4 linked regions of the Elephas maximus indicus genome follow. The protein of the gene in region 4 binds, or shares a complex with, the protein of the main gene of each other region. Links are inferred from orthologs where the notes say so. Each region holds a gene or a part of one and is shown on either strand. Other genes may lie near its edges. The genes, in order: TAF11, GTF2B, TAF13 and TAF7.

Region 1 (8,016 bases), on a different chromosome or scaffold from region 4:
AGCTCCCTTGCTTCCTAACTAACTTTTCTACTGTATCAAGCAACCTTTTATTTCCCTTTGCTAGAATGAAAACTATTGAAGATAGTCTCCTACTATTTATAAATCTCCCCCATAAACATTTAACAGACTTTTACTCATGCTAGTTGTTCAATAAAATTCTGTTTAATTAAAAAATATATATATATATACACACACACACAAACTTTATCCTCTTGAAGTCAATACAGAATCTAAGGGTACAACAAAACTCACGAATGAGATTTATCCTGTTTCCCTTAAAGAGGAATTCACATTTAAACTCATACAGGAATATGGGAATGGAGGGTGGGTGGGAGTGAAGATAGACATGCTTTTCAAATTTCTTCTCTAGTTAATGATTTATATAAAAATTCTAACCTCTTTGTGCTTCAATTTTGGTGATTTATATTTTCCTAGCAAATCATTCATTTTTCTTAGATTTTCTATGAGTCGGAATCAACTCGACGGCAGGTTTGGGTTTAGGTTTTCAAATTTGTTTGGCCTAAACTTGAACATTAAATTTTCTCCTAACTTTAAGGATCTCCATATCAGTGCTTATAGCCCCTTTCTTATTTTGTAATGTTGTACGTTTACATTTCAAATAATCAGGTCTTAACTTTATGATTTCTTAACGTTTTTCAAGGGCTAATTCGCTAATGTTTACTTTTATCCTAATTAGCTCTTTGTTCCTACATTCTTCTGGTTTATTTTGCTTTTTTTTTTTTCTGATTTCTTGAGTTGGGTGCTTATTTTCGATATTGTTCACTCACTAACAAAAATATTTAAGGCTGTGAATTTTTCTCCAAGTTAGACTTTGGTCAAATTCCATAGTGTTTGATACAGACTGTTCTTTTTGTTAATTTCTTTAAGGACTATTTAAAATGACCCAGTGATTAGTTTATTGTTAATTTCAGGATTTACTGCCTTAAGTTGGAACCGACTCTAGGGCAACTAACAAGAATAACAATTGCACTGTACTAACAGAACGTGGCCTATTATGATTTCTACATTTATGAATTTACGTTTCTCTTTGTGGCCTAGTACATGATCAATTTTTAAAAGTGTTTCAGAAGTATCAAAAAAGAACCTATATTCTCTGTTGGCTGCAAAGTTCTATTTGTAGTGAGTTCTCTATTGCTAGGTGGTGTTATTAGTTGCCATCTAGTCAGCCTGGATTCCTGGGCGACCCTATGTAGAACATATTGAAATGTTGCCCAGTCCTGTGCCATCTTTGTGATCACTGGCATGTTTTATCCCATTGTTACAGCTATTGTTTAGCGCCTTCCAACCTAGGGGGTTCATCTTCCAGTGCTATGTCGCACAATATTCTGTTGTGATCCATAGGGTTTTCACTGGATAATTTTCAGAAGTAGCTTGCCCGGCCTTTCATCCTAGTCTGTCTTAGTCTGAAAGCTCCATTGAAACTTGTCCACCATGGGTGACCCTGCTGGTATTTCAAATACCGATGGCATAGCTTCCAGCATCACAGCAACACATAAGCCACTACAGTACAACAAACAGACAGATGGTAGAGCTCTCCATTGGACCAAGCTAATTATTATTTAAATCCTTTCTGTCCTTGGGACATCTTTTAAAGGCTCTTTCTTAAAATAGTTTTTGTCACATCTTTTTTTCTAAAACTTACTTTGTATATTTGGAGGCAACTTTGTGCCCCGAAAGGCTATTTCCATCTAATCTAATGTGGATTCCACGATCTCTTAAGTCCTTTCTAGCTCTAAGACCCCAAGATTCTATCTCTAGAAATGAAACACAGAGAATGCTGAGATTCTGGTCACTTGGCAGATCCTCAGCTAGGCAACACTCTGAGCTCTGGGGGTGGCATAACCGATGGGTCTGACGTTTTTATGCTCTATAGACTCTTTGACATTTGCACACAGGTCACTGTACTTGGTAGCAGTTAAATGTCCCAAGAGAGTAAGAATGTCTCTCTTCAAAGTCTCCTTTTAATGGGATCTTATCGGTTCTGTCATCTATAAAGACAAAAGTTATGCTTAACCAACATCTAAGAGTGCCCATGGGTGCACTGGTGGCCCAGTGGTAGAACTCTCCCATGCGGCAGACCCAGGTTGGATTCCCGGCCAGTGGACCTCATGCACTGCCACTCCCTCAGTGGAGGCCTGCCTGTAGCTATGATGCTGAACAGGTTTCGGTGGAGCTTCCAGAGTAAGACAGATTTAAGGCCTGGCGTCTACTTTAGAATATCAACCAATGAAAACCCTATACAACCCAATGGTCCAATACAACCCATCATGGGGATGGTGCAGAACCGGGCAGTATTTCGATCTGTTGTGCATGGTGTTGCTATGAGTCTGGCCGACTCTATGGCAGCTAACAAGAGGACTCATATTTTGGTGAAAAAGATACTAGGCCAATAGCCGGTAATCCTGGGTTCTAGTACTGGCTCTTGCACTAAGTCTCGATGTGACATCGGGCCCTAACTTCTTCACCAAAGACTGTTTAAAATTCCCTTAGAAGTAGTTTAATTCCTAAGAGTAGGGATTAAAAATATTAACCCTGTACGTGGGCCTCTGGAATGTAACCAGCACTAGGCTTTTTTCCCATGACTGACGATCTAGACAGTGTTGTGAATTTGAGCTCTTGTAGCTTAGGAGGGACCAACCAAGAAGCCTGGCGAGCACCCAGTAACCTAGTCTCGGTGTACTCCTCCCGCCTAAACAACACACCTCCCTACCTCGCCTTCTTCCACCGGGGTTTCTTTCAATTCCCCATCTCCGTCCCCGTCAGCTTCCTCGGGTATTCCGTCCGTGTTGGCGTTCCCGGGACCCAAGGGAGCGGCGGGTGTCTCATTTGACTCCCCTGTCTCTCCACCTTTGTCCGTGGGCGACTCGCAGGCATTGTCCATCTCCGCGAGAGGCGGAGAGTAGACCGCGGCGCTGTCAGACGCGGGAGCGCTGAACCCCGCTCGGCTCAGCAGCCCCGGAGCTTACTTCCTGTCGTCGCGCTGTGATGACATCACCCCTACCGCTCGGCGGAGGGGTCAATTGGGGGCACGTAGAGCGGCTTTTGATGATCTGTTTTAACTCTTGTGGGGCGGTGGGGTGAGGGAAAATTGGGGGTACGGAGTTCAGTTTGTGGATCCTTCGCTCCGGGGTAACCAGCTTTTGTGAAGGCGCGCACTTTTGTTTACTGAAGGGCTTCTTTTTCCTTTCCGCCTTTTAAAAAATGCAATATCAGTTAACCCCCTCGTTAACCTGACTCGCTGAGTAAAGAAGCTGCGGGGATATGGAAGGAAACTCAGTTCCGTTGTGTGCTCGTGCCGCGGGATGCGGCTGCCTTTGACTGGCAAACTTCCAGGCAGAGACTCAACCGCGTACGTTTCAATTAAACAGACTGCGGGCCCGGGTTTACAATGAGTTGCTAACATTTCTATTCCGCATGCACTTAAAAAAAAAAAAAAAAGTAATACTAGATTGAGCAGAAACTATCCACTGCATTTATTCACTCCACAACTCTTGAGCGCCTACTTCGAACCAGGAACCAGTGAACAAAACAGTTCCTACCCAATTAAATGATGTTTACAACTTACCAGTAACTGGAAAGTTCGGGGCCGGTTTCACAAATCTGCCTTTTTATGTCAGTTTGGTTAATCTCATAAAAAAAAAAAAAAGGAAACAAATCCTTTCGGGGTCAAATTTTCTCCTTTGATGTTTCACTCAATGAGCCATTTCAGGAATTGGGAGGACGAAGAGGTGAGAATAGATCTATTTTAAAACCTTCCTCTGTTTCCTCCTTCGAGCTCATTAATAAAGTCCGGGAAAAGGGCACGTTTTATTCACCTATCACTAGGTCCCCGCGCCCATTAGATATTTAACTTGTGCGTGCTTAAAGAATAAACTTGGGAATGTAGGTGCGCGTTACCATATTTCTCTCTTTGTTTCTGCACTGCCTGGATGAATTACCGTATTTCCTGTCCCGTGGGCTCCCAAAACCTTCGGTAAAGGAGCGCACTTTGGGAGGCGTGTACAGGTAGACCTCGTTTGTCCCCTTCCACTTGGATAGCGAATGGCCACACGGTGTCGTCCCCTGGCCCCTCGAGCCCTATCCCTACAGCGGAGTCCACTTCGCGTTGGCCCAGCCACCTGAGCCCGCCCTCCCAGCCCCGCCCAGCTAGGTGGGCAAGGGGGCGGGGCTCGGGGGCGCGGTGACGCGTGACGCCAGATCCCGGAAGTGACGCGCGCGTGGGGAAAAGGCGGGGGGGAGGGGGGTGGTGTCCCCGGCCGGTTTGGGGGGTGCGTTGCCCGGAGACGGAAAGTTTGGGAGCCTGCTCGGGCTCTGCTGCGGCCCCGGGGCTGGGGTCTAGGGGGCGTCGGCCCTGGGGATGGGGAAGGAGCAGGAGCTGCTGGAGGCGGCCCGCACCGGGCACCTCCCGGCGGTGGAGAAGCTGCTGTCCGGGAAGCGGCTCTCCTCCGGCTTCGGCGGCGGCGGAGGCGGCTCCGGGGGCGGCGGCGGCGGCGGCGGCGGCGGCGGCGGCGGCGGCCTCGGCTCCTCCAGCCACCCCCTCTCCAGTCTGCTCAGGTGGGTACGCGCGGGGACCGGGCCGCCGCCTGGAGATCCCCCTCTCCCGCCCATCTCCTGGTCCCCAGAGAGGTCGGGGCTCCTGAGACCTGGGCGGGGTGGGCTGCGGGTTGAGCGGGGCGAGGACAGGCGGCCCACCGGACCGAGAACTGGAGGGGGCGCTGGTCCGGGTCCGCGCGGCCACGGGCTTTCCTCCCGTGTCCTACCCGGGTGCGAAGAATGGTGGGAGTGCCCAGGTGGCACCCTCCGCCTCATGGCACAGCTCGGCTTCACCCTTACCCGGTATAGGGTGCCAGCTGTGGCATCTCACAAGCCGATTTAGAGCAAAAAAATAAGTATTTTAAACCTCCCTCACCTCCTGCCGAAACTCCCACGCCTTGCAGAATTTCGCGGCTCTCCTGGAAGAAATTCTGTTGATTCTTTAGGAACTTAAAACCTTCTTCCAGGCTCTGCAGGACCTGGCTTTTGTTTATATTAAAATTGTCTTTGGATTTGTCAGATTCAAAGTGTTCTTCTTTGAGCCCGCCTTGCGCTTGAAGTTCGAATTCTAGTTCCTTGTACTGCACTTCACTGGATTAGTCTGTTAGTGACATATGCAGGATTCATCAGGGGATTTATTCATCAAGAAATAAAGATTTAGAAAGAGTTGTTTAGGAAACGGAGGGGTTCTTTAAACTTTTCCAAGATCTGTTGTTAAAATAAACACTTAGGTCTAGAGTTGAAAGGATTGAAGGAAAAGGCCACTGTTTGTGGCTTGGAAGGGGGTTTGAAGGTCCTTCGTCACTGCGAGTTAAATTTTGTTATTTCAGCAGCGCTTTCATACCCTGTTTTCTTTTCCTTCCTTGTTCTTTGAGGTTTTTAAGATGTGGAAGTTCATTTAGAAATGGCTTCGTTAGCATTTGTTCCCCATTAGTTTATTTAACTGCGATTTGAATGTGCTTGAACGAGGTTTTAATAAATTGTTAAGTTTTAAACACTGAGTACCAACCCAGGTGTATACAGAAGGATCTTAAAAAGCAGTGTAAGGGAACTAACTCTCCCCAGGAGCGTCTTTTGGGAGGCAAAACCGTGTGCTATTCACTGCTGTCTCCCCATCCTGTAAAACAATGCCAGCACATAGTAAGTACTAAATATTTGACGAATAAATAAAACCATGAAGTAGAAAACCATAAATTTCTAAATAAACTGATTGGTACTCGCTGTAATTGTTAGTAGTTTGGAGAAAGGAGAGATTGCTTTTGGATGACATGGGGGTCAGGGGAGGCTTCCAGGAGAAGGGGGACTTTAGCTGGCCTTGAAGGATGCAAGGACTTGGATAGGCGAAGTCCTGTGAGCTAGAGCTTTCCAGGTGGGCACACCATGGTTAGAAGCACAAAAGTGGGAAAGGAATGGCGCTAGTGGAACGCTAAATTAAGCCAAACCCATTGCTGTTGAGTCAATTCCAACTCTTAAGGAGAATTTCCCACCTGGAGCCTTGACTGTGGTTGGGTGCGATAAAGCAAAATAATGGATGGATCTGAATTCAGAATGACTTAGCCCTTCTCATGTTTATATTTCCAGCACTGAGGTCAGTGCCTGACAACTCACAGGTGCTCTGTAAATGTGCATTGAATGTACGAATCAGGTTTTGAGTCTTACCTGGATTACTTCCATACTTTGCAGTTATGATGTCCGAGAGATGGGGAAAGACTATAGAAGTTTGGAGATGTGTCTGCCTCTAATGAATGGAAAGATGCAGTATTTGGAGGTTTGCCAGAGATGTCTTAAACCTGCAGCATACTCTGCTGAAGCGAGAAACTTTCATATATCTCCTCCCCCCAAGTACAGGTCAAGTCACTCTTAGTGCCCTCGTTCAGGGACTGTTGGAATTTTGTTGAGATTTAGCTGTCACATAGTTTTGCAAGACTAGGAAATCTCCGTTGAGCACAGTGTTTTTACTTTGGGCCTCATGCTCATGTATGTGTTCTGTGTCTGTCATAAAGGGTGGGTGGTGTCTCCATTCTCCTGAGTAAAAGAGCTGACGCCTGACTTACTCCTGTGTGTGGTGTTGAAACAGCAGAAGGCCTAGAACTGCCCTAGCCTCTCATTCCTGCGACTCCTGGGGGCAGGGAGGATGTGCAGGCACTAGTTATAATAGGTGTGTCATTAATTACAACCATCTCAGTGGTGACTCTGGTTAAAATGAGTGAAAGATTTCTGAGCAAATGAGACCATGCATTTAAATAATCCCAGGTCAGCATGTCCTCCCTTTTTAGGCTTAGAAATAGTGAAAGGTAGGCCCTCTGTACCCCCACTTCAAGGACCCTGAGTTAGCTGTGGAGTCATAACGTTAATACGGCTATAGAATCAAAACTTTAGAGTTGGTTTTTGTCTTAGCTGCCGTCTCCCACCCCACCAGTCCTGCCAACTGCAATCCTGCATTGGTGCAGCTCTTTGAGTGACTGAGTAAAACTGGCAGGAATGGGGGCTTAAAGCTGCAGAGGGTATAAATGTTCCAAACCCCATGTGTGCTTATGTTTACTCATCTATTATGACCCTCCTTATTCTACAATGGCTTTGTACTTTGTGCCCCCTTCTCTCTGCCCGTCTCTTCTCTCATTCTACTTGGGCTTAGGTCTTAACTTCTTAAAGCCCTCCCTGATGACCCTAATACACACAGATGTCTCAGGCTTCTACTTTGGAATATATCATCTGTAGTGTTAGCTTACCTATCGACAATTCTTTGCTTGCCTAGCTTTCACAGTTTATTGCTACTGAAAATACACCCGAGAATCAGAAAGTCAGCAAAGATTTCTAATAGAAAGAAAACACATAGATGAAGTTCATATTCTTCCAGCCTAACTTATATTCTATGTGTTTATTCAGAGGCAGTATAGCATTCTGCTTAAGACCAGTTGTTCCGCACTTAGACTGCCTGGATTTATGTTCCGCTGCCACCACTGCGTAGCTACTGGACTTTATAAGAGTTACTTAACCACCTTGAGCTTTAATTTCTGCATCCATAAAGTGGGGGTGATATTATCTGCCTTAATAGGTATTGTCTTAGATGATGTGTGTAGGGAACTTTCAGCAAATTTGTGGCACATTGTAAGTGCTCATTGTTAGCCATGCTCAGTTCAGTTCAGCACATACATTTTTGCCGTACCTCACCTGCTATGTGCAAAGTCCCATGCGGGACACATCCTAAATGGTGTACTTCCACACTTGGATATCTTTCCAACCCATAGCAGAGTAGAAAGTAAATAAGGAAGAGGACCTGCTCAGGCAGGCACATTAATGCCATTCATTTACCAAGTGTTTACTCATCACCTACTTTGTGCCAGGCCAACTGCTCAATGCACTGCAAAATTTCTCTCATTCCTGGCACATGGTAGGCACTCTACCAAAATTAGTCCTTCTCCTGATACATGGGTGGTTCACCCTTACAGAGTTTGTAGTAGT
Region 2 (7,710 bases), on a different chromosome or scaffold from region 4:
GAAAGCAGGCGTCAGAAGTCAGGGCTGGTACTCTTTGGGCAGGGGAAATGATTGAGGACACAAGGGAGGCTTCTGGAATGCTAGTGGTGCCTGATTTCTTGACTTGGGTGGTAGCTATGTACGTGCACTCACTGTGTAATAACTGAGCTGTGCACTTAAAATTTGTGTTTACATTAGGCCCCTTCTTGGGGGCATGGAAGGTAGGAACACATACACATGTTTGTTAAAGCATAAACTCTCTAAGACAACACCAAGAAACTAGTTTAACAATGGCTGCTTTGGGGGCGGAGTAGATGGCTGGGAGCCGGGGAAGGAGGGATACGGTGTTCCACTATATACTCTTATGTACTTTTTATTTTGCACTATTTGTATGTTTTATCTATCCAAAAATAAAAACAGAATCATGCTAAAGTAGTCAACTTCTAACCAAATTGCTCTTCAGAGTAATATAAAAGAGGAACCACGTAAGACGTGGGATGGTGGGAGAAGTCAGATAAATAATAGGGAAGAAATGGAGAAAACAATCATTACTACCATTCAAACAATTCAGACTATCTAATACGTCAAATATTGCCAAACCTCATTTTATAGCCACCAGCAAGGCAAGATAAATTGAGATACTCTATGTCACGTGCTTTACCGGGTGTCTACTATGTGTCTTGTTCTATATATACCCATTGCTGTCAAGTCAATTTCGACTCATAGCGACTCTATAGGACAGAGTAGAACTGCCCCATTGAGTTTCCAAGGAGTGCCTGGTGGATTCGAAATGCCGACCTTTTGATTAGCAGACACAGCTCTTAACCACTATGCCAACAGGGCTTCCATGCTATATATACGTTATTATTAATCTTCACAACAACCCCGCATGATAGGGATCATCTCTATTTTAAAGGTCATGTTCAGAATAACTTGCCTAAGGTCACAGAACTAGTAAGTGGTGAAGCTTAGATTCGAACCCAGAACATTTGTACTCTTCTCGGTGAGAACACCAAGCAGTTCCATTGCCCATTAACTGTGCATCTTCTCCAAGGGAAAAAAAAAAATGCTAAAAGTAGAAACACTAACATTTACTATTTGTTCTTACTTGTAGAAAAAAAAAATCAAGAGCTGGAATAGAGCAAGGACACATAAAATTTAAGAGTTGGCTATGTCTTAAAAAAAAGTTTATTGATTTTTTTTTAAAACAAATGAAGAAAATAAAGGTGCACAAAGGCAAATGTACTACTTGGGTAAAGTATTGTGACTTTACTAATGATCTGTATTATTTAACTAGGGCTTTGAATGTCTGCTCTGGTTTGACCCCTGTTGAAAAATAGCCTTTCCACCCCAGATATACTGAATCAGAATCTACATTTTAACAAGATCAGTAAGAATCACCTGGGGATCTTGTTAAATGTGGATTCTGACTCAGTATATCTGGGGTGGAAAGGCAAACTCTCAGCAGGGGGCCAAACATGCCAAATTGGTTAGAAGCGCTGCATTTAACTACTGAAACATTTTTTACGAATAAAATTTCCTGCTATAGTATACTAAATGCAAAATTGTGCCCAAATAGAATCACATTTACTTCCATGGTCTAATGCCATGAAAGACTATAAATTGTATTTTGGTGATTTGGGGAAGTTAAAGTTTCCATTTACATAGCAGAAAGGAAGTGTTTTCTGGGCTGACAAAACCACACACAGATAGAATGATTGAGCATTCAATCACAGAATTAGAATCAGTAAACAAGGGTGTCATTGGCCTTAAGGACTGTTGCCAAACACCTAAACAGGCCATTAGCTAAAGCAGCTCTCCTCGCTTTTTTTTTTTTAATACAGTAACATAAAATGGTAAGTCCTGGCAGACACTAGAAAGGGCCTGGATTTCTCCAGCTTATGATGTTTGATCAAGGACTTTCATTGGGAACCCAATTCCACACACATACACAAATAACAGAATTGCCTTCTGGAAGTGCTGCAGAAATTAATTTGAAACTTTCAATACATTTTGAGTTAACCAGAGGCCAACTGTGTGATAATAGGAACCAGGTAGCTTAAGTTTCTACACTCTGTTCTAACTTTGGAAAGGTCAACACTGGCATGACTCAGTTTATGAAAATACTAATATCTACCTCATGGGGTAATAAGAGATATAATTAGGGTCTGCATGCATTTTTTAGGTCACTAGATTAAAGGCTGTGTCTAAGGGCACTGCATACATTTCCTGTAGATATGGGTGCACTTAAAAAATAATGTTATCTAGTGACATCTCAGCATATGTAAGTAATTTTCTGCAGACAGAATAAAATTTTCTTCAGTACTCCGCAGAGACATTTGTAAAAAGATCTTTTAAAAGGGAACTAATCAACTTTTCAGAAATGCCCTAGCTTCCACTTCGTGGAGTAGCTGAGATGATAACCAGTTTCCATCCGGCTTACCCAACGTTGACGTTTTCAACTCTTCAGCTATCAGATCGACAGGGACCGGGAACTAACCCTTTCCCGCTCTTTGGAAAGGAGGACTCGCGGCCCCTCAGGCTGGCTGAGCCGTAGGTGGAAAAATATGCGTAGAAAACACTGACATGAAAAAGAACGGTTGAAATATGGGCAACAGGCTAGGCCAAGAGCTGGGGACACAGGGGACCAAAGACGGTGGTGCTCGGGCGAGAAGACCCCACAAAGGAAACTCTTGGGAAGACATAGGACGCTGGGGCTATAACGCCGACGATTAGGTACCCCCTGCGACATCCTGACAGTCCTGCTGTCTGGAAGCGTCACTGTCCGGGCCGGCCAGCCAGTCCCGTTGCACCTTCCCAGTATCTCCGGCCACTCGCTTCGCCCTACGCGGCTGCTTCATTGGCCGTCTAGAGACCCCCGCCCCTCAGCTAGCCGGGCACCGTCTGACATACTAACCGGCTGGTAGACGCCATCTTCACAGCCACTGCGGCTTCCGAAACAAGGAACAACAGCAGCACTAAGAACAGGAAGAGACTGGCGACACAACGCTTGGAGACGGGCTTTTATAGGCAAATCGCTCACGCAGTCGTACTAGGGCGCGGCTACGGGTCGGGAGATAGGCCAAGAAAATTGAGATCCCGAGTGACACGTGCTTTGCGTTTTCTTATTTATTTATTTTTTCCGATATTTGCCGCGTTGTTGGGTAAGTCAACGAAACTACCTAGAGAAACTCTCAAAGGAACCCTGCAAACAGGCTACACCAGAGCTACCCTCAACCTGACTAAGTTAAAACACGAAGAAAACTCCGGCGTCGAGGCGGAGACCAAGCAAACCTGTATCCCACAAAGGCTTAACCCTCTTCCGGAGAGTCGGTTACTGTAGTTGGAGTACTATGCTAACTTGCCCCCAGGGATGATTATTTCTGACTTAGAGACCTGGAGTAATGAGAGAAAATCACTTAGGTAAGCCAGCACAGGCTCTGTCGTCAGCCAGCATGCTCTGTCTTGTTAATCACATCCCCTAGCCCATCCATGCAAAGGGTAATAATATCTGCCTTGCATACCCTTTTAGAGGAGGCAGGAGATTAAACAAAAGCATGTGAGAGCACTCTGCCGCATGTGAGACAGGAATATGAGGGCCCTGCCCTGACTTTTTTCATGCCTTTTGCAAATTTGACTGATACCTGAAGTGTAGAGAACTTGGCAGAACATCTAGATATGGCAGAAGGTCCCTACATTTATTCATTAGCCAAACTAATGTCTGAATAGTAATAATAACAACAATAATACCACCCCCACTTTGCCGAGAACAAACCACCCTTGACCCTGAGGGGACGGGACAAGAGGGGGTGCTCCAGCGTTTCAGTGGTGATGAGGACTTAGAATATAGTGGCTGCTTTGTTCATGTGGTGATGGGACTTAAATGCCACTGAGTGCACATTGTTTTCTTAAGAAGGTGGGAGAGACTGTATTCCTTAGAAAGAAGAAGGGATGGGAGGGGAAGGAGTTCAGGAACTGAAATCTATATGGGGATAGGAGAGCCTGTTTTCCTTCTGTCTGTCTTTTCCAATCTTCCATTCTAGAATTCTGTAATTTAAAAACTTCACTGTACTCTTGTAAGTTTTTTTCTCCCTTAATATTTGGAAATAGTAAAATGTTGGTAATATTCTTTCTGTCTTAATATTTGAAGAAGAATGCAGCATCAGGATTGGAGGAAGACTACCTGCGATATGCAAATGACACAACCGTCTTTGCTGAAATGGAAGGGGACTTGAAGCACTGAATGATGAAGATCAAAGACTACAGCTTTCAGTATGGATTACACCTCAACATAAAGAAAACAAAAATCCTAACTGGACCAATAAGCAACATCATGATAAATGGAGAAAAGATTGAAGTTGCTAAGGACTTTGTTTTACTTGGATCCACAATCAACACCCATGGAAGCAGCAGTCAGGAAATAAACAATGTATCACATTGGGCAAATCTGCAGCAAAAAAAATCTCTTTAAGGTGTTAGAAAACAAAGATGTCACATTGAGGACTAAGGTGCTCCTCATCCAGGCCGTGGTTTTTTTCAATTGCTTCATATGAATTCGAGAGCTGGACAGTCAGTAAGAGTTGATGCCCTTGAATTATGATGCTGGTGAAGAATATTGAATATACCATGAGCTGCCAGAAGAACAAATAAATCTGTCTTGGAAAAAGAACAACCAAAATGCTTCTTAGAAGCGAAGATGGTGAGACCTTGTCTTAAATAGTTTGGACATGCTATCAGGAGGGACCAGTCCCTGGAGAAGGACATCATGCTTGGTAAAGTAGAGGGTCAGTGAAAAAGAGGAAGACCCTCAATGAGATGGATTGACACAGTGGCTGCAACAATAGGCTCAAACATAGCAATGATTGTGCAGATGGCGCAGGACCAGGCAGCATTTCGTTTGGTTGTACGTAGGGTTGCTATGAGTCGGAATCGACTCGCAGCACCTAACAACAACAATAATATTTGGAAAAGTTTTCAAAACTCCAACGTGTTTCAGGTGTGCCAAGTGTAACCAGGAAAGGGCTTGGGGGTGCTCTGCCCCAATCTGGTGGGAAGTTTTCATGGTAGAGCAGCTTAGCTTTGAGGAAAAGGAGGGAGAAAAGCAGGAGGGCCAGTGGGTGTCATCTTGAGGATCAAGAACAAGGACGGTAGGCATTCGATAAATGTTTGTTGAATGAAGAAACCATCAGAGAACAAGAAATCTCAGAGGGAGGCAGAGTGACTGGTTAAATTACTCCTGTCGCACCTAGAAAGGCCCTTAAAAAAAATTTTTTTTTTTTAAATTGTGCTTTAGATGAAGGTTTACAGAGCAAATTAGTTTCTCTTTAAATAATTAATACACATATTGTTTTGCGACGTTAATTGCCAATCCCACGACGTGTCAATACTCTCCCCTCCTCGACCTCGTATTCCCCCTTACCAGCTTTCCTGTCCCCTCCTGCCTTCTTGTCCTTGGCCCTGGGCTGGTGTGGCCCATTTAGTCTCATTTTGTTTTATGGGTCTGTCTAAACCAAAGGGTGTACCTCAGGAGGGACTTCAGTACTGAGTTAAAAGGGTCTCCAGGGGCTGTACTCTTGGGGTTTCTTCAGTCTCTGTCAGACCAGTAAGTCTGGTCTTTTTGTGTGTCTGTGTGTGAGTTAGAATTTTTGTCTACATTTTTCTCCAGCTCTGTCCAGGACTGTCTGTTGCGATCCCTGTCAGAGCAGTCGGTGGTGGTACTTGGTTACCATCTAGTTGTGCTGGACTGAGTCTGGTGGAGCCTGTGGTAGTGGTGGTCCATTAGTAAAAGGCTCTTATTTGTCAGACCTTGTAAGGATTTCTGTTTTATATTAACGTTAAGCAACTAAGCAGGTCCTTCCTTTTATCGGCATGGATTGGCAATTTATAAGTATTTCATCAACATTAAGCCATTTAATCATTCTATCTGATCCTGAGATTAAGACAAACACACACGCAACTGGGATTTTACCACCTAGGAATCAATGATCTATCTAGACTAGTATTGAACAAAACGTGATTTTTGAGTAACATTTTCATTTTCCTTTTTCCATATCCATGCACCACCTGCACTAACATTTTTATTTAAATTACTTCATCCTTTTAACTTAAAATTTTATTTCAAAAGTTTATATTACTACTATAAAATCACAACTTGATATGCTACTTTAGTTCTTATAAGATCTAATATGCTTTACATACCTAATAAAAGATAAGAAGTTTGTGAGCCACCTAGGCTTAAAAAAAAAAAAAAAACTTTATTGAGTTATAATTTATATACCATAGGATTCATCCATTTTAAAAGTAGAATTCAGTGATTTTACTAATTTTACCAGCTTGTGCAACCATCACCACAATCCAATTTTAGAACATTTTCATCACTTCAATAAGATCCTTCATGCCCATTTACAGTTAAACCCAGTCCACCCTCAGCCCCAGAACCGCTAACCTACTTTCTGTCTCTATAGATTTGCCTTTTCAAGACATTTTATGTGTTTGTCTTTTGTGTCTGGCTTTTTTTTAACATGGCAGAATGTTTTGGAGGCTCATTAGATTTACTTTGCGACTTCACTTTTGGAGATGCTGATGTATGTGTCTGTTATATAAGTGTCTGGTGATGTTGGCAAAGTTGGCAATTTTCCTGACTTAAGTGGGCTTTGACAAAGTTTTTTTGGAAATTATAAGACATTCTGCTGGACTAGGAAGAATGGGGGATTCGGTGCAATCTACAACCAGGTCTGACTGGACTCCATCAGAACTGGGATGAGACCTCTAAAATATTACACCAGTCTCATGTGCCTGTTAGCTCAGGGGTCATATGTACTACTTCTCGAAACCTCAGGGGTTTTTTAGATTAAAAAAAAAAAATTTTTTTGTCACATATGAAAATGTTCAAACATGCTCAAAGTTAGAATAATATAATGAATCTCCATATACCCATCATCCAGATTAAACAATTAAGATTTTGCCACATTTCTTTCATATATCCCTTCCTTCTCTTTTTTTCTCCCTTGGCTAAAATATTTTTTTAAAAATCCTAGACGTCACCTCAACCCATATATAACTTAGTATGCATTTCTAAAAATTCTGTTTTTTTAAAAAATATTTTTACGTAACATTATAATTGTTAGTTGCTAATGAGTCAGCTCCAACTCACAGTAACCTTATGTATAACAGAACAAAATGTTACCCGGTCCTGCACCATCTTCATGATATCGTTGATATGTTTGAGTCCATTGTTGAGGCTATTATAATACTAATACTTACTATGACAATACTTAATAAGTTACCAGATATAATCTTTACACGCAGTTGGCCATTGTCCTGGGCCTGCTTCTTGGTGGTCTGGTTTTGCCTAGGCAGAAGAGTAAAAGTCCATCTGAAGCTAGGCAGTGCACAAGCTCCAGTAGCAATGAGCTCTCCTGTTTCACGCTTGCAATGCAGAGATATTCCTCACCTCTCCTTCCCCTCCCCAGAAGTAATATGAGGTGCCTATGTTGTAAGGCTCAGAGGAAAAGGACCTGGGGGAACAGCAGAGCCTCACAGAAACTGGAGATCGATTTTGACTGTTCATCATTTGAAAGTTAGCTTTTTTATGTCCTGATCTATTTTTTTCTGAGTAGAATAGATCTCTAACATGTAGGTTATCCAGTGCAGTTTTCCAGGATCTTATTCTTAAAAATAAGAGAACTCCTCACACTCCTAACCCTGTGTTAGTAGAAGCTTGGTGGCAGA
Region 3 (7,281 bases), on a different chromosome or scaffold from region 4:
AGACCTTCTGTTAGCCCAAGACAGGAACCATTCCCAAAGCCAACTCTTCAGACAGGGATTGGACTAAACTATGGGATAGAAAATAATACTGGTGAGGAGGGAGTTTCTTGGATCAACTAGACACATAAGACTATGTGGGCAGCTCCTGTCTGGAGGGGAGATGAGAAGGCAGAGGAGGTCAGAAGCTGGCTGAACGGACAGAAAAAGAGTAGGTGGAGAGAAGGAATGTGTATCTCGTTAGGGGGAGCACAATGAGGAGTATATAGCAAGGTGTATATAAATTTTTGTATGAGACTGACTTGATTTGTAATCTTTCACTTAAAGCACAATAAAAAAAAAAAAAAGATTACAACCTTGGAAACTCTATATGGCAGTTCACCTCTGTCCTACAGCACAGAACCTACTCAGATGATATTAGTTTTCCACTAATGTCCTTATCCTGTTCCAGGATCCAACTCAGGACCCCACACTGCATTTGGCTGTCATACCTCCTTCATTTCCTACCATCTATGACAGCTCCTCAGTCTCTCCTTGTCTTTCATAACCTTGACACTTTTGAAGAATACCGGGTTTGTCAGATGCTTTCCCATGATTAGGTTGAGGTTATGCATTCCAGGGGAGGCTATCTGCCTTTCTCAATGCATCATATCGTATCAGTATATATTACTGGTGATGTTAACTTTGATTAATTGGTTAAAGTGATATCTGCCAGGATTTGCCCCCTATAAATTTACTATTTTTCCTTAAATATCTTGAGAGATTATTTTCTTGCTCTCATTTTGATGGGTGGAATTCACCGGTAGGGAAATATGTTTCTCTGGAAAAGGGTAATTTATATTAGAAGTATATAAACTGTATTTGGTATAAGGGTTTATAAAGGCATGAACAAATCCCAGTGAATGCTCTGAAACATCTCATGTTATATTAAAATTTTTCTAAAAAGAGGATTCAGGAAAACAGCTCTTGATCACTAAGATATATGAACACTCAGGTAAGACAAGAATGCTGTGAAGATTCCAAATTCTTGTCATCACAAAGATAACTGACGTGGAACAAAGGTCTCTGCTAAGAACTAATTATGCAAGCATCACTCCCAGATGCTCTGTTGTGGGGTCCCCTTTCTTATACTGACATAATAGTTATTAAAACCACATACAAATGGCATAAGTAGCATCAGAGATGGAATAAGGAGTGGTCAAGTAAGCTCTGCGTTAGGGGAGGAATTGAGATACAGAGAAGGATTTATGTGGTTTAAAAAAAAAAGGCATACTGACCCTGTGATTTCAACAGTATTTGAGAACTGCTCATGTCTGATCCAGGATAAATACACCAGGTATTCATAAATCTGTGTTGCCTCATCTGTCAATACCCATGGTCATAGCTACATTTAAAAGACCCTGGAATGGGAGATGGAGAGCACATTCTCATGGTGCCTTTGGACAAGGGGGGGTATGTCTTGATGATCAGTACTCACAGCAGCTCTCCTTCCCTCTTGCCAAAAAGGGTCAAAACTGTCTACTGAGTGAGCAGGATAGAGAATCGATACATTTTATCTCTGTGGCACTGTAATGCCTCACACTGTTCACCTGCCCTCCTGCCTTGTCCACCACCTCAGTCCAAATCCCCAACTTTGTTCCTACTCTCAAGCACATGTGTTCCCAGGATTCACCTGTGACTTACAGTCAAAGGAGTTTTTGCTCCTCCTGCTGCAAAAGGGAAGGACAGGAAAAGTAATGGCGATATGTTTTTACGCGCTGAATTGAAACACTGGTCACATGTCCTCCTTAAAATATACATAAAAATTGGGGTTAGGACCATTACTATCCAAAAGTTAAACAGGATGTTATAGGCAAGTGTGAGAACATTTTACCTACAGGGAAACATATTCAGAACGATAAACCTACTTTGATGAATGGATGTGTCCAAAACTTTGTATCATCTATAATAAAATCATTGTCAAATACAACTTACATTCTTTAGAAAAAAGTCTCTTTCTTTTGCCCTGTCCACCTTCTGCACCTCCTCCAATTTCTTCATTTTCCTCCTCAAACTAGAAGTTAAAATGTATATATTGAAATGTCATATGATTGCATTGCATTTGATTTTTAATGATTACCATTTTTTTTCCCATTATCAACACTGGTCTCAGACCAGAAAGCCCCACAAGAAGCAATAAATCATGAAACCTTAGCAATGACAAGGCCTTAAAGACTATTTAGTCCAACTTCTGACTCATGAGGAATGCTTTCTACATTGTTCCTAACAAATAATCCCACTGGCTCTCCTGAAGAGTTCCAATGACTGTAAGTTTTTTTTTTTTAACCAAATTGACCTATTGGTAGACAGTGTTACTGTCAAAAAGAGTTGTACTGAATCGAAGTTTACCTCACTGTAGTAAGCAAAACTAGTATTTACTAAGCATAGTACTAGGAGCTTTACTTAAGTAAGCCTTAACACCATGTTACAAGGAAACCGAAGCTCAGGGTTAAATAACTTGCTCACAGAGAAAACAAATTTTGAAATCCAAGCTCCCTGATATCGGTTCATTATTTTTTCACTACTTTAAAGTAAGTAAAGTTCTGTTAGTTGAACTGCTGGCTCATAACGAGCTCTAACAAATATTGGCTTTGAACTCTAATGATTCTCTACACGCTCCAAAAGGTGTCTGGAAGATATGAACCAAAACCAAACGGAAAGGTGCTACCTTCCTACTCTTCCTTCACGTCTTGCCCCACGTACTAAAAAGATGAATCCTAAGGGCTCCCTTCTTTTTTGTTTAAGGGCGAGGCGCGAGGTCCCCAAACTTTCTTGGTTCAATCACTAAGGCAACAGACTTGATTCTGAACTCGGCCTCAGAAGCCGCCGCTACTGAGCCTGAAGGAGTGAAGAAAAGAGAGAGTTGGCACAGAGGCGGTCACTCACGGTAGGGTCTTCTTCTTCATCTGCCATCTCATCAGTCAGCCAACCTCTCGCTCTAAATGGGTTTTACTACTTCCGCCTCCTCACTTCCTGTGACGTCAGGCGCGGGGCGGGGCCTAGCCGGGCAGCCGCCGGGGAGGAGTGCCAGTAGTCCTGTCTGGAGGCCTAACGGGAACAATCTCTAACGAAAGAAGGGCGAGGTCCGTCCTTCCGAGGAAAGAATTAAAAAACAGCAGAGAGAAGGCAGTCATGTCTAGGTGGCGTGTATTTCGTCGTCAGCCTACATTTGCTTTTAAGTTGGGAACTACTGTTTTCCTGATTCGGTACTGCCATTGAGGGACAAGCCAGCAGTCCTTGAACTGATGGAAAGCAAAAACAAAAACAAACCTGTTGCGGTCCGATCGATTCAGACCTATGGCGACCCTATAGAACAGAGTAGAACTGCCCCGTAGGTTTTCCAAGGAGCGGCTGCGGGATGTGAACTGCCGACCTTTTGGTTAGCGACCGTATATCATTTAACAACTGCACTACCAGGGCTCCTGAATTGGTTGAAGGTGTATTTAAACAATTTCAGCCATTTACAGTTCCACTATCATTTATTGCCAAGTACAGTGTTAGTTATTGGGGATATTGTGCTTCGTTACTAGTTCTCAAGGGGCGATACCACCTCCTAGGGTTTTTGATCATGAAAAGGAGCCCTGGTGACTCAATAGTTAAGCGCTGGGCTGCTAATTGAAAGGTCGGGGGTTGCAACCCACGAGCCGCTTCTCCCGAGAAAGATGTGGCAGTCAGCTTCCTAAAGGTTACAGCCTTGGAAACCAGATGGGGTAGTTCTATTCTGTCCTATATAAGGTCACTGTGAGTCCACGACAATGGGCGATAGGTTTTGGCTTTTTTGGACGTAACAATGATTAGGAAAACCAAGATCATTAGAGGGCCAGGGCTAGGAATATGAGATGTCCTGCAATGCTACAGATGATGCCAAATGTGAAAATTGTTCCGTAATACACACGATTTCTGAATGTCCTACTGAACATTCATGTGAGTGAAAAAACTATATTATCTGAGCTTAGAACCTAGCTTTGCTAACATAAATACAAAAATACTTCCCTACACTTTTAATGTACATTGAATTTTCTAGGAATGCTAGTACCCCGAAATTGGTTGGTGTCATGGATTGAATTGTGCCAATCTATGTCATCTGATGTGATTTTCCTATGTGTTGTAAATCCTATCGCTATGAGATGATTATTAGCAGTTATATCGATGAGATCTACAAGATTAGATGGTGTCTTCAGCCAGTCTCTTTTGAGATAAAAAGAGAAGTGAGCAGAGAGACATGAGGACCTCATACCACCAAGAAAGCAGTGCCAGGAACAAAGCACATCCTTCGGACCCAAGGTTTCTGCACTGAGATGCTCCCAGACTAAGTTGATGATAAGGACCTTCCTTCAGAGCCGACAGAGAGAGAAAGCTTCCCCCTGGAGCTGACACCCTGAATTTGGACTTCTAGCTTACTAGACACTGAGAGAATAAACTTCTGTTTGTTGAAGCCATCCACTTGTGGTATTTCTGTTATTGCAGCACTAGATGACTAAGACAGTAGGTGTATTGGCTATTTATTGCTGTGTAATAAATTACCCAAAAATGTACTAACTTAAAACAACATCTATCACACAATTTCTGTGGGTCAGAAATCTGGATGCAGTTTATCCGGGCACCTCTGACTCAAGGTCTCTCTAGTGTTGCAGTCAGGGTGTTGTCTCATCTGAAGGGTCAATGGGGAAGGATCCACTTTCAAAATCACTCACGTGGTTGTCAGCAGGATTCAATTCCTTGAGGGCTGTTGGACTAAGGGCTTCAGTTCTTCATCAGCTATTGGAGTCCTCCCTCAGTTCCCTGTCACATGGTCCTCTCCATAGGACAATTCATAGGCATATGAACTGATTCCATAGGCAGCTGGCTTTTCTCAAAGAAGGTGAGCAAAACAGCCAGGGAGACTATGCAAGGCAGGAGACACAATCTTTTTGGAACTTAATCTTGGAAGCGATATCCTACATAGGGTGAGAATACCAGGAAGCGGGGATCACAGTGGGCTGTCTTAGAAGCCACCTACCCTAGTAGATCCTATTATCTGTGAATTTCATTTTCAGGATAATAAAAGGGGCATTATATTTGTTATTTAAGGGGGATTATTGAGTTCAGTGGAGCCCTGGTGGTGCAGTGGTTAAGCATTTGGCTGCTAACCAAAAGGTCAGCAGTTGGGATCCACCATCCACTCCTTGGAAACCCTATGGGGAAGTTCTATTCTGTCCTACAGGGTCACTACGAGTTGGAATCGACTAGACAGCAACAGGTTTGGTTTGTTTTTTTTTTTTTGGTATTGAGTCCGATAGGACTGAGAACCACTATATTAGGCAGTAATGAAAGACTGGACTTGTCCAGGGGGTCAGGTATGAAATATTCCCAGTTGTTAGGGATTGAATTGTGTCCCCCCGAGATGTGTGTCAGCTTGGCTAGGCATGATTCCTGTTATTGTGCAGTTGTCCACCATTTTGTGATCTGATGTGATTATTCTATGTGTTGTAAATCTTCTATGATGTTAATGAGGCAGGATTAGAGGCAGTTATATTAATGAGGCAGGACTCAATCTACAGGATTAGGTTGTATCTTGAGTCAATTTCTTTTGAAATATAAAAGAAGCGAGCAGAGAGGAGAGGGACTTCATACCACCAAAAAAGGAAATGCTGGGAGCAGAGCAAATTATTTGGTCCCAGGGTACCTCCACAGAGAAGCTGCTAGATCAGCAAGAAGACTGATGACAAGGACCTTCCCCAGGAGCTGACAAAGAAAGAAAGCATTCCCCAGGAGCTGGCGCCCTGAATTCAGACTTCTGGCTTCCTAGACTGTGAGAGAATAAGTTTCTGTTTGTTAAAGCCATCACTTGTGGCATTTCCGTTATAATAGCACTAGATGGCTAAGACACCAGTGTTCATTCAGGGGAGTGGATAGGTAAACTGTGCTGGGTGCACACCAAGGGGTACTATGCAGCAGTCAGAAGGAAAATATTAGCAACATGGATGCAGCTTAAACACATAGAGCTAATTGGTGTGGTGGCTATAAGAGCTGGACGGCTAACTGAAAGGTCAGCTGTTTGAACCCACTAGCCATTCCACAGGAGAAAGAGGTGGCAGTCTGCTTGCATAAAGATTACAGCCTTGGAAACCCTATAGGGCAGTTCTACTCTGTACTATAGGATTGCTATGAGTTGGAATTGATGGAACAGCAGTGTTTGTTTGTTTTTTTAAGTAAAAAAACAATACACAATGAGAACTATAGCATGATACCATTTATGTAAATTAAAATTATATGCACACAAAACAATATACATTTTACAGGAACATATAAACAAAAGCATAGGCATTAAACACATTGGAAACGTTGCAGGGTAGGAGGAATAGGAATAGGGATAAAAGGAAATAAATAGCTTAATAACATGAGAAGGGCTTTGGAAGGGCCAATTACAATAGTCACAAACCATGGGGCATGAATAATTATACACTGAACCTGAAATCCAAAATAGAAAATAAAGTGAAAAAAAAGTTGCAGCACGATGAGCAGAGCAGAAATAAAACACAGAATGAAAAGTCACGGCATGTTTCTACAAGATGCTCTGGATGGGTTGCCAGAGACAAGTTTGTTGGGTAGGGATACAGGAAATGAAGCTGGGATGAGGCTGGGATTAGACTGTGCAAGGCCTTGACTTGAGATGACCCCTGGGCATTCATTACCCTAGCTATGCCTCTGGTGGGGTAACTTTTTGTGAAATAAACATTATTTTAATTGGTTTCTTAGCTTCTTTTCTTCATTGTTCCTCTAGTCAGATGGAGACCATTTGCTGTACCTTAGATACCTGCTTGCTCACAAGATTTTAAGACCCCAGATGCCAAGCAGCTTCCCAAAAAACAAACCCATTGCCACTGAGTTGTTACCAACTCATAGTGACCCCCTAGGACAGTGTGGAACTGCCCCATAGGGTTTCCAAGGCTGTACTCTTTACAGAAGCAAACTGCCACATCTTTCTCCTGCAGAGCAGCTGGTAGGTTCAAACCACCAACCTTTTGGTTATTAGCCGAGTGTACCACCTGGGCTCCTTATGTCAAATAGTTTAGTAGCTTGATAATAATATACAGGTAGTCCCCCAATGACATATTAGAGTTAGGAGGAACCACACTTACAATCATCCTCTTTTTTTTTTTTTTGTACATCTTACAGTTAGTAATATGTACTGAGAGGCAGATTATCCACTAAGCAAGTAACCATAGTGTTTACCTTGCTTACCAGATCATCTGTAGCAAACAA
Region 4 (7,438 bases):
TCGTAGTGCATCTGCTACGTAGTTCACTAGGCAGAACAAAGACAGCGGAAGGGACACAGTACTTCCTGACGCTCCGCGCGCCTTCTCAGAGCTGAGTACACTCGCTACGGTTTCTTCCGGATTACAAAAATGCCCTGGAAAGAAAAGACAGCGCCTAATCGGGGTCATTACATATCCTGACGTACCTAAACAAGATATTTGGAAGAGATTGCAGGAGAGCTTGCAGAGATCTTTCTCGAGCAGATCGCCGCGTCAGAATCGCCAGTGGATTGCTCTGCTTTAGTCTAGCCACCGATTGGGGGACAGCGGCACCCAGAGGCCTAACACGGTATCTACCGCACGTTGTTTCTGAAGCCCTCCTTAGAGACTGTTCGGACTTATTTTAAAATTTCAGTTGATTTAGTATAAAAGGTGCAAATAGTTATTTATTTTTTGCCCAAACGTTAATAAAACAGTCCACAAAAATGGAAATAAAACATTGTCTTCTTAATATCTTAAAATTCACGTTAACTTAAAATAAGAATCCTCACGGAATCTTCCCTTCTGACATTTACTTTTGAAGAAGTCAATATACTAACAAAGCTTCCTTTTCTTTAAAAAATGGGTTACTCAATAACTTCTCCATTGTAAAAAGATTTCTACATTATAAAAAGAAATTCTATGATATAAAAAGGAAATTTTCATTATAAAAAAGGTAGAAAATACTGATAAAAAATTTAAATCACCCGTAGTGGCATTATATAATCACTGATATATATTTTGATATCTATCCAGACTTTTTCAATACATACATGCTTTTATCATTCCAAAAACAATCAGTTCTTTAATAGATACTATTGGTTGCCCATCTTCTTTTCTAACACTTCTTTTTTAGTTCAGGTTTCCACCCCCTACTTTCCTAAGAGGAAGCTGAACCTATTCATAGCTGCATTAAAAAATTTTTTTTTAAATTAGATCCTGATAAATATAAGCCAATAATGGTAATCTCATTCCTTTTGACAGTGCCTGGCTTAGGAATATAGGCTTAAAATAATAAGATTAGGGCTGAATTTCTCACCCTCTGTGCTCCTGGCCTTTTAAGCCAGACAATTCTTTGTTGTGGGAACTGTCCTGTACTTTGTAGGATGTCTAGCCAGAAGTGCCCAGCCCCACGGGTTGTAACAACCAAGAATGTCTCCAGCCATTACCAAATATACCCCTTCCCACCTTGAGAAGCATGGGTTTAGGGTCTTACCCTAGGGACTACTATTGAACCAGGGATAGAAACATGACCTAAATTGGTCCAATCAGACTGAAAGAAAGACTTTGGCTAGGGGAGAGCCACTCTCTTAATTTGCCATGAACAAGGAAGGAAATTCCCCAGTTATTGTTGGCAGTCACTTTATGACCACACACAGTGGTAGCCAGCTTGAATGTTTACAGGCAGATGAGGGCAGAGCTGAAACAATAACGGAAAAAGTAGAAATAAATGCTACTTTTTCAAAATTAGGAAGAGAAAAAACAAATTGTGCAGGCCATAATTTTTTTTTGCTTAGAGCCAGCCATACTTCCAGGCCTGTGCTATCCAATATAGTAGCCACCAACCACATGTAGCCATTGATCACTTGAAATGTGGCTAGTCCAAAATGAGAGGTGCTGTAAGCGTAAAATACACGAGATTTTGAAAACTTAGTACAAAATAAGAATGTAAAATACATCATTAATAGTTTTTATATTGATTACATGTTGAAATGATAATATATAGGATTAAATAAAATAGGTTATTAAAATTTATTTCACTTGTTTCTTTTTACCATTTCATTCTGGCTGCTAGGAAACTTAAAATGCCATATGTAGCATGTATTTGCAGCTCTCATTATATTTCTATTGGACAATGCTGCCTGTTTTCTGGGATAATAAATTTTCTTACTGTTTAAACTAGTGCATACTAGTTTTTCTTTCTTTCTTTTTTTTTTTTTACCCCTACAGAGAGCTTCCTACTTGATATAGGAGACTGTTGTTCATATTTGTAGGTAACCTGATTTTTAAAAAACAAATGATATAGCAGTAAATAAGCTTAATTTTTTTTTTCTTTTTTGAGGGGAGGAGTGTTTGCTATTCCTCATCCTGTAATTTTCTACTTCCAAAATATAAGCAGGACTTCTCCCTTCACCTGTATTTAACCTCCAAAGAAGCTGAAAGTTTATTAAAGGGAATTTTCAAATGTATGGTATTAGCAGTAGCCTGATTGTCATGCTCATTTATCATAAGTGCTTTTATTAAAGGCTACAAAGGAAGGCTTTGGAGGAACTGATACCACACTAGACAATTTCTCACTCTCCTCAAATCTTTGGTTCACTGGTATCACAGATACTCCATGGAGCAACCACAGGAGGGTAATTCTTTCCAGTCAGAGTCTGTGTTTTTCTGTCTAAATGGATTTGAAAGAAACAACTGGATTAATCAATGGACATTAAGGTGATGGTGATATGGCAGAGATCTTAGCTTTAAGGTCGGTATAATTTCACCCCAAGTACAGCATGTAGATGGCCCACAAAAAAGAGGAAGACCTTAAGTGAGATGGATCGACACAGCAGCTGCAACAATGGGCTCAAACATGGCAGTGACTGTGAAGATGGTGAGGGATCAGGCAGTATTTTGTTCTGCTGTACACAGGGTCACTGTGAGTTGGAACTGATTCCACCGCACCTCACAATACAACATAGCATTTAGATCGTGTGCTACAATCAAAAGCAGATACTATGCTTCAGGATTCAAGGGGCTAGGTACTTCAGGGTAATTCAGCTAATCCCTTAATTATCTCACACAGTCTTCCATTTAAACTTTTACTAACTAAAACACTTCCTAATTTTGGAAAATCTGAATTTGATAGAATTTATCTCAATCTATTTTTGATGACAAGAATATTTGAGCATCATAAAACTCACAGGGAATTAAAATGCAAAATAATTCTTGGATTATTGTCATGTATATTTTTTATATAAGTATGGCCTAATATTTTACATGGTTAAATAAAGGATTATACAGAAGTCAGCATGTTAAATTCTTACACCTATAAAATCAGCTATAATTGAGGAACAAGCACACTGAAAAAATTTCATCACAAAAGAGGAAATAGATCATCCTGGAAATTAAGGACGAGTCAGCTAACATTCTTGAACACATTGTAGGACGAAGTGAAATAATGTGCAGTCCTCTGGGAGGGCATAATTGCGCCTTCAAAATTAACATAAAAAAATCAAACTGGTGCCAGGCCATTTTAACTTACTCCCATGATACAGGAACACAGTCTACCTACACAAAAGAGGATATATTCACATACACTATTAGTAAATCTCCTTCACCTCTCATTTACTAGATGGAAAAGCATAACTTTATGTATTAGAAATATATAAAAAAGTGGTTTTATATCATTTATTTTCTCTCACAAATAACTATAGGATTGTTTATATTTATGTTCTTTCTAGATGGATCAATTAAATTGTTCAATTAGCAATTTTTGTGAGTGTGTGTAACTCCTGTGTTCTGGAACTAGGCACTGGAACACAAAGAACAAGATAAAAAAGGTCTTGACTAAGACTGAGATTTTAGTCTGGGGTGATAACAATAAAAATGTACATAAATAAAGCAATTTTGGAAATGTTAATGAGATTTTAAGAGTGTTTTCTTAAATTAAGAAAGTTACCTTAAGAAAGGATAGGAATTAAATTCTAAATGACCTTGATGCTTTACCTATTTAAAAAACAAATGGAAATGAGTAGGAATAAGTGCAAACTGTCACATAGTTCACCGAAATACTATACACATAAACCCACTGCCGTCGTAGTTGTTGATAAATACCTGGCTTCCCATAGAAGACATAGGCAGAAAAGAGCAAAATAGTAGAAGTGGAGTGAAAAAAATTCCAAAGTGATTTCCAGACTCATTAAAATACTACTGGTGAGGGGCAGTATATATATACTACTTTAACAGATTATCTACGAGACAATTCTGTCCTAAATGAACAGACGCCTTCAGAAGAACACTTATTTCTGTTTACATTTATATATACGTCAAACGCATTAAAAGGAAAAATCACCCCTGTTTCCCCGAAATTCTTCAGAATAGAAATAGATCCAGATATCACGGGTTCTCTGGGCATTTTCAAAATCCACAAAATGTAGACATTGAATTATTTAGTGGGCAACACTGCCCTCCTCATTGCACTGATTTCGGTACTTTAAAACCCACTCGATGGGATATCCTCGGGAGCGGGGGTGGGGGGTGGGGACCCGACATTTTGCCAGAAGCAAAGACGCTTTCGGCACCGACGCGTTTATCTCCCGGAATCGCCCTGAAGCCTAGACGCTGTCCGGCTCCAAAGCAATCCGGTAAAAACCCGGACTTAATAGGGGAGGGAGGAAAGAAGGATGGATCTATGTCTTTCTTGGAACTGTTTTCTCTAAATATTTTCAAACCAATAACTCTTTATGAAACATTCTCGCTTTTATTCCGTTAAGGCCATACTCTCGCGAAAGTTTTTCCACGCCTGACAACCCAACTGCGCCTGCGCGCGCATGGCCAGCCCGCACTTCCGCAGGGACCGTGCTGTCACTCACAGCCGCTTCCCGCCCGCGCCGTGACGTAGCGCTTCCTGCTCCGGCTCGTTTTGCAGCTCCGGACCTGGGGTCGCTGAGCTGCTTTGCAGCTGGGCTGCCGAGCTGCTGAGCTGCCCAGCTGCCGAGCTGCCGAGCTGCTGTGTCTGGCTCTCGGAGTTTCGGATCTCGGCGAGCTTTCGCGCTGCCCGTCCTGAGGTCTTTCGTTTTAATCAGCAGCGGATCACTTTGCCGAGCGCCGGGAAGAACAAAGGGAATCAGGGAGACTCTCGGCTCCAAGTCGCCTTGCTCCGAGCGGCTTCTTTTCCGTCTGCTCCTTTCCGAAGAAGCTGCTTTTGTAATCGTCACTGGATGGTAAGTACTCGAGACGAAGAGAGCTCGCTGCGCTCGCTTTTTGAATATCTTTGTTCCGGGAGAGTTTGTGGATTGGGAGTGTCTGCTGGGCCCTGCTCTTTGTGCCGAAAAAGCTTTCGGCGGGAACCGCCATTTGCTTTCCTGCTTGCTAGCTCGCTCTGCATTGTCCAGCAGCGGCACCTAGAGGTTGGAGCTTGACTTTGCATCTAATTGATTTAAATGAAAGTAACTGAATAAGCGAATTTGTGTCAGTAACGACTGGTATCCAGTCACAGCATATTTAGAGAAAATACCTGGGGTTTAATTCAGAATTAAGACAAAATAGACGCTTAGCTGCTATTCTGCTTAGAACTCTTTGTAATTAAAAGATTTCAGTTCATAACAAGTGGCTTTTTTAACTTTTGCAGTAATTGGAATTTTATATTGAAGCAAGTGCTTATTACCAGAGAAGTGAGTCACAGAGAAATCAGGATGAGTAAGAGCAAAGACGACGCTCCTCATGAACTAGAGAGCCAGTTTATCTTACGCCTACCTCCGGAATATGCCTCGACTGTGAGGCGGGCAGTACAGTCTGGCCATGTCAACCTGAAAGACAGACTGACAATTGAGTTACACCCTGATGGTCGTCATGGTATTGTCAGAGTGGACCGGGTTCCGTTGGCCGCAAAATTGGTAGATCTGCCCTGCGTTATGGAAAGCTTGAAAACCATTGATAAAAAAACCTTCTACAAGACAGCTGATGTCTGTCAGATGCTTGTAGCCACAGTTGATGGTGATCTCTATCCTCCTGTGGAAGAGCCAGTTGCTGCCGCTGATCCCAAAGCAAGCAAGAAAAAGGATAAAGACAAAGAGAAAAAGTTTGTCTGGAACCATGGAATTACCCTGCCTCTGAAAAATGTCCGAAAGAGAAGGTTTAGGAAGACAGCAAAAAAGAAGTATATTGAATCTCCAGATGTGGAAAAGGAAGTGAAGAGGTTGCTGAGTACAGATGCCGAAGCTGTCAGTACTCGTTGGGAAATAATTGCTGAAGATGAGACAAAAGAGACAGAAAATCAGGGCCTTGATATCGCCTCTCCGGGAATGTCTGGCCACAGGCAGGGCCATGACTCATTGGAACATGATGAGCTTCGAGAGATATTCAATGACCTCAGCAGCAGCAGTGAAGATGAAGATGAGACACAGCATCAAGATGAGGAGGATATAAACATCATCGACACTGAGGAAGACCTGGAGAGACAGCTACAGGACAAGCTAAATGAATCGGATGAACAGCACCAGGAAAATGAAGGAACCAATCAGCTCGTTATGGGAATTCAGAAACAAATTGATAACGTGAAAGGCAAGCTCCAGGAGACTCAGGACAGGGCAAAACGACAGGAGGATCTCATCATGAAAGTGGAGAACCTGGCTCTCAAGAACAGATTCCAGGCCGTTCTGGATGAACTCAAACAAAAGGAAGACCGAGAAAAGGAGCAGCTCAGCTCTTTGCAGGAAGAGCTAGACTCACTCTTAGAGAAGTAAGAGGAGCTTTGTTACTTTGTCTTTAGACAGTCCACTGAAAGAAAAACCTTGGACTGGTTGTTATGTTCTTGTAGTAGTCCCTATTCCCTCCATTACCTTCTTTTGAAACTATCCCTTTTAAACCATTAGGCTAGGTGTTTATCTTGTAGGAAATAGGATTGTATAGATGGAAAAATGTAGGAAAGTTGTAGGTTTAGTGGAATGAACAATTCAACCTTAATAATCACAGTTTCATTGCAGGACATTGCTGTTTTTCTGTTTGCTAGAAGCTGTTACTACTGCTTTGTGGTGCCATCTGAGATCAGTAAGAGTCTAGCCTAGAAGCAGTGAAGCTAGTTTGCAAATTTTTTCCTGTGCACTAGGTCCTTTCTCAGCTATTAAAAGCAAACATTTCCACATGTAGAGTTGCAAATCGTTTTATGAAGTTGTTTCTAACACAGTAAATAAAAGTAGCTAATTTTCACTGCATAATGTGTCTTGTTCTTTCACAGGTAGTGGGAGTGAGAGCCTCTCCTGGGGTGTTTTCTTGGTGGGGTTTAATGACTGAGCAATTTGGTCCTTTGCAGCTAAAGCAGCAGCTATGTTGTGTTTTGAGTAAAAGAACACAGTAGGGGCAAGGAAATTGGGAAATGTCTTAAATTGCTTTGTATTAAATTTCCAATTCTATTTGGAGATTAGGAGACAAAAGGTACAGAACCTTCCAAAACTACCTTCATGTTCATAGATTAAGGTTTACTTATACCTTGTTTTTTTTTTTAAAGCACTCAAGTCACTTGCTTAAAGTGTTGGAAATAATGATTCTCAAGTGCAGATCAGTAAATCTGTTGGTTTGAATTAGAATTATTTCTAAGTATTTTCCATTTAATTCCTGTAGTTATTTAATCTGAGAATTGAGTAATTTACCCATGTCAGTTTATCAAAATTACTAATAAAGGAAGTCAGTATCATAGTCTGATACTTCAAAATGT

Evidence for each region.
Region 1: TAF7 (region 4) and TAF11 share a complex: the UniProt entries of both Homo sapiens proteins name them as parts of the TFIID basal transcription factor complex. The link is inferred for Elephas maximus indicus from reciprocal best matches to the Homo sapiens genes TAF7 and TAF11.
Region 2: TAF7 (region 4) and GTF2B share a complex: the UniProt entries of both Homo sapiens proteins name them as parts of the TFIID-containing RNA polymerase II pre-initiation complex. The link is inferred for Elephas maximus indicus from reciprocal best matches to the Homo sapiens genes TAF7 and GTF2B.
Region 3: TAF7 (region 4) and TAF13 share a complex: the UniProt entries of both Homo sapiens proteins name them as parts of the TFIID basal transcription factor complex. The link is inferred for Elephas maximus indicus from reciprocal best matches to the Homo sapiens genes TAF7 and TAF13.

The regions. Positions count from the first base shown.
Region 1 is NC_064819.1:97,761,226-97,769,241, forward strand, and holds the start of TAF11 (transcription initiation factor TFIID subunit 11), read right to left. Parts: upstream 3,020-8,016; 5' UTR 2,903-3,019; coding exon 2,732-2,902; intron 1-2,731. Other genes in the region: ANKS1A (ankyrin repeat and SAM domain-containing protein 1A), read left to right, coding at 4,379-4,575. UniProt on the Homo sapiens protein: The TFIID basal transcription factor complex plays a major role in the initiation of RNA polymerase II (Pol II)-dependent transcription.
Region 2 is NC_064821.1:138,982,681-138,990,390, forward strand, and holds the start of GTF2B (transcription initiation factor IIB), read right to left. Parts: upstream 3,005-7,710; 5' UTR 2,914-3,004; coding exon 2,897-2,913; intron 1-2,896. UniProt on the Homo sapiens protein: General transcription factor that plays a role in transcription initiation by RNA polymerase II (Pol II). Involved in the pre-initiation complex (PIC) formation and Pol II recruitment at promoter DNA.
Region 3 is NC_064821.1:172,516,800-172,524,080, reverse strand, and holds the start of TAF13 (transcription initiation factor TFIID subunit 13), read right to left. Parts: upstream 3,011-7,281; 5' UTR 2,950-3,010; coding exon 2,923-2,949; intron 2,051-2,922; coding exon 1,972-2,050; intron 1-1,971. UniProt on the Homo sapiens protein: The TFIID basal transcription factor complex plays a major role in the initiation of RNA polymerase II (Pol II)-dependent transcription.
Region 4 is NC_064820.1:154,654,543-154,661,980, reverse strand, and holds TAF7 (transcription initiation factor TFIID subunit 7), read left to right. Parts: upstream 1-4,610; 5' UTR 4,611-4,949; intron 4,950-5,356; 5' UTR 5,357-5,420; coding exon 5,421-6,470; 3' UTR 6,471-6,933; downstream 6,934-7,438. UniProt on the Homo sapiens protein: The TFIID basal transcription factor complex plays a major role in the initiation of RNA polymerase II (Pol II)-dependent transcription.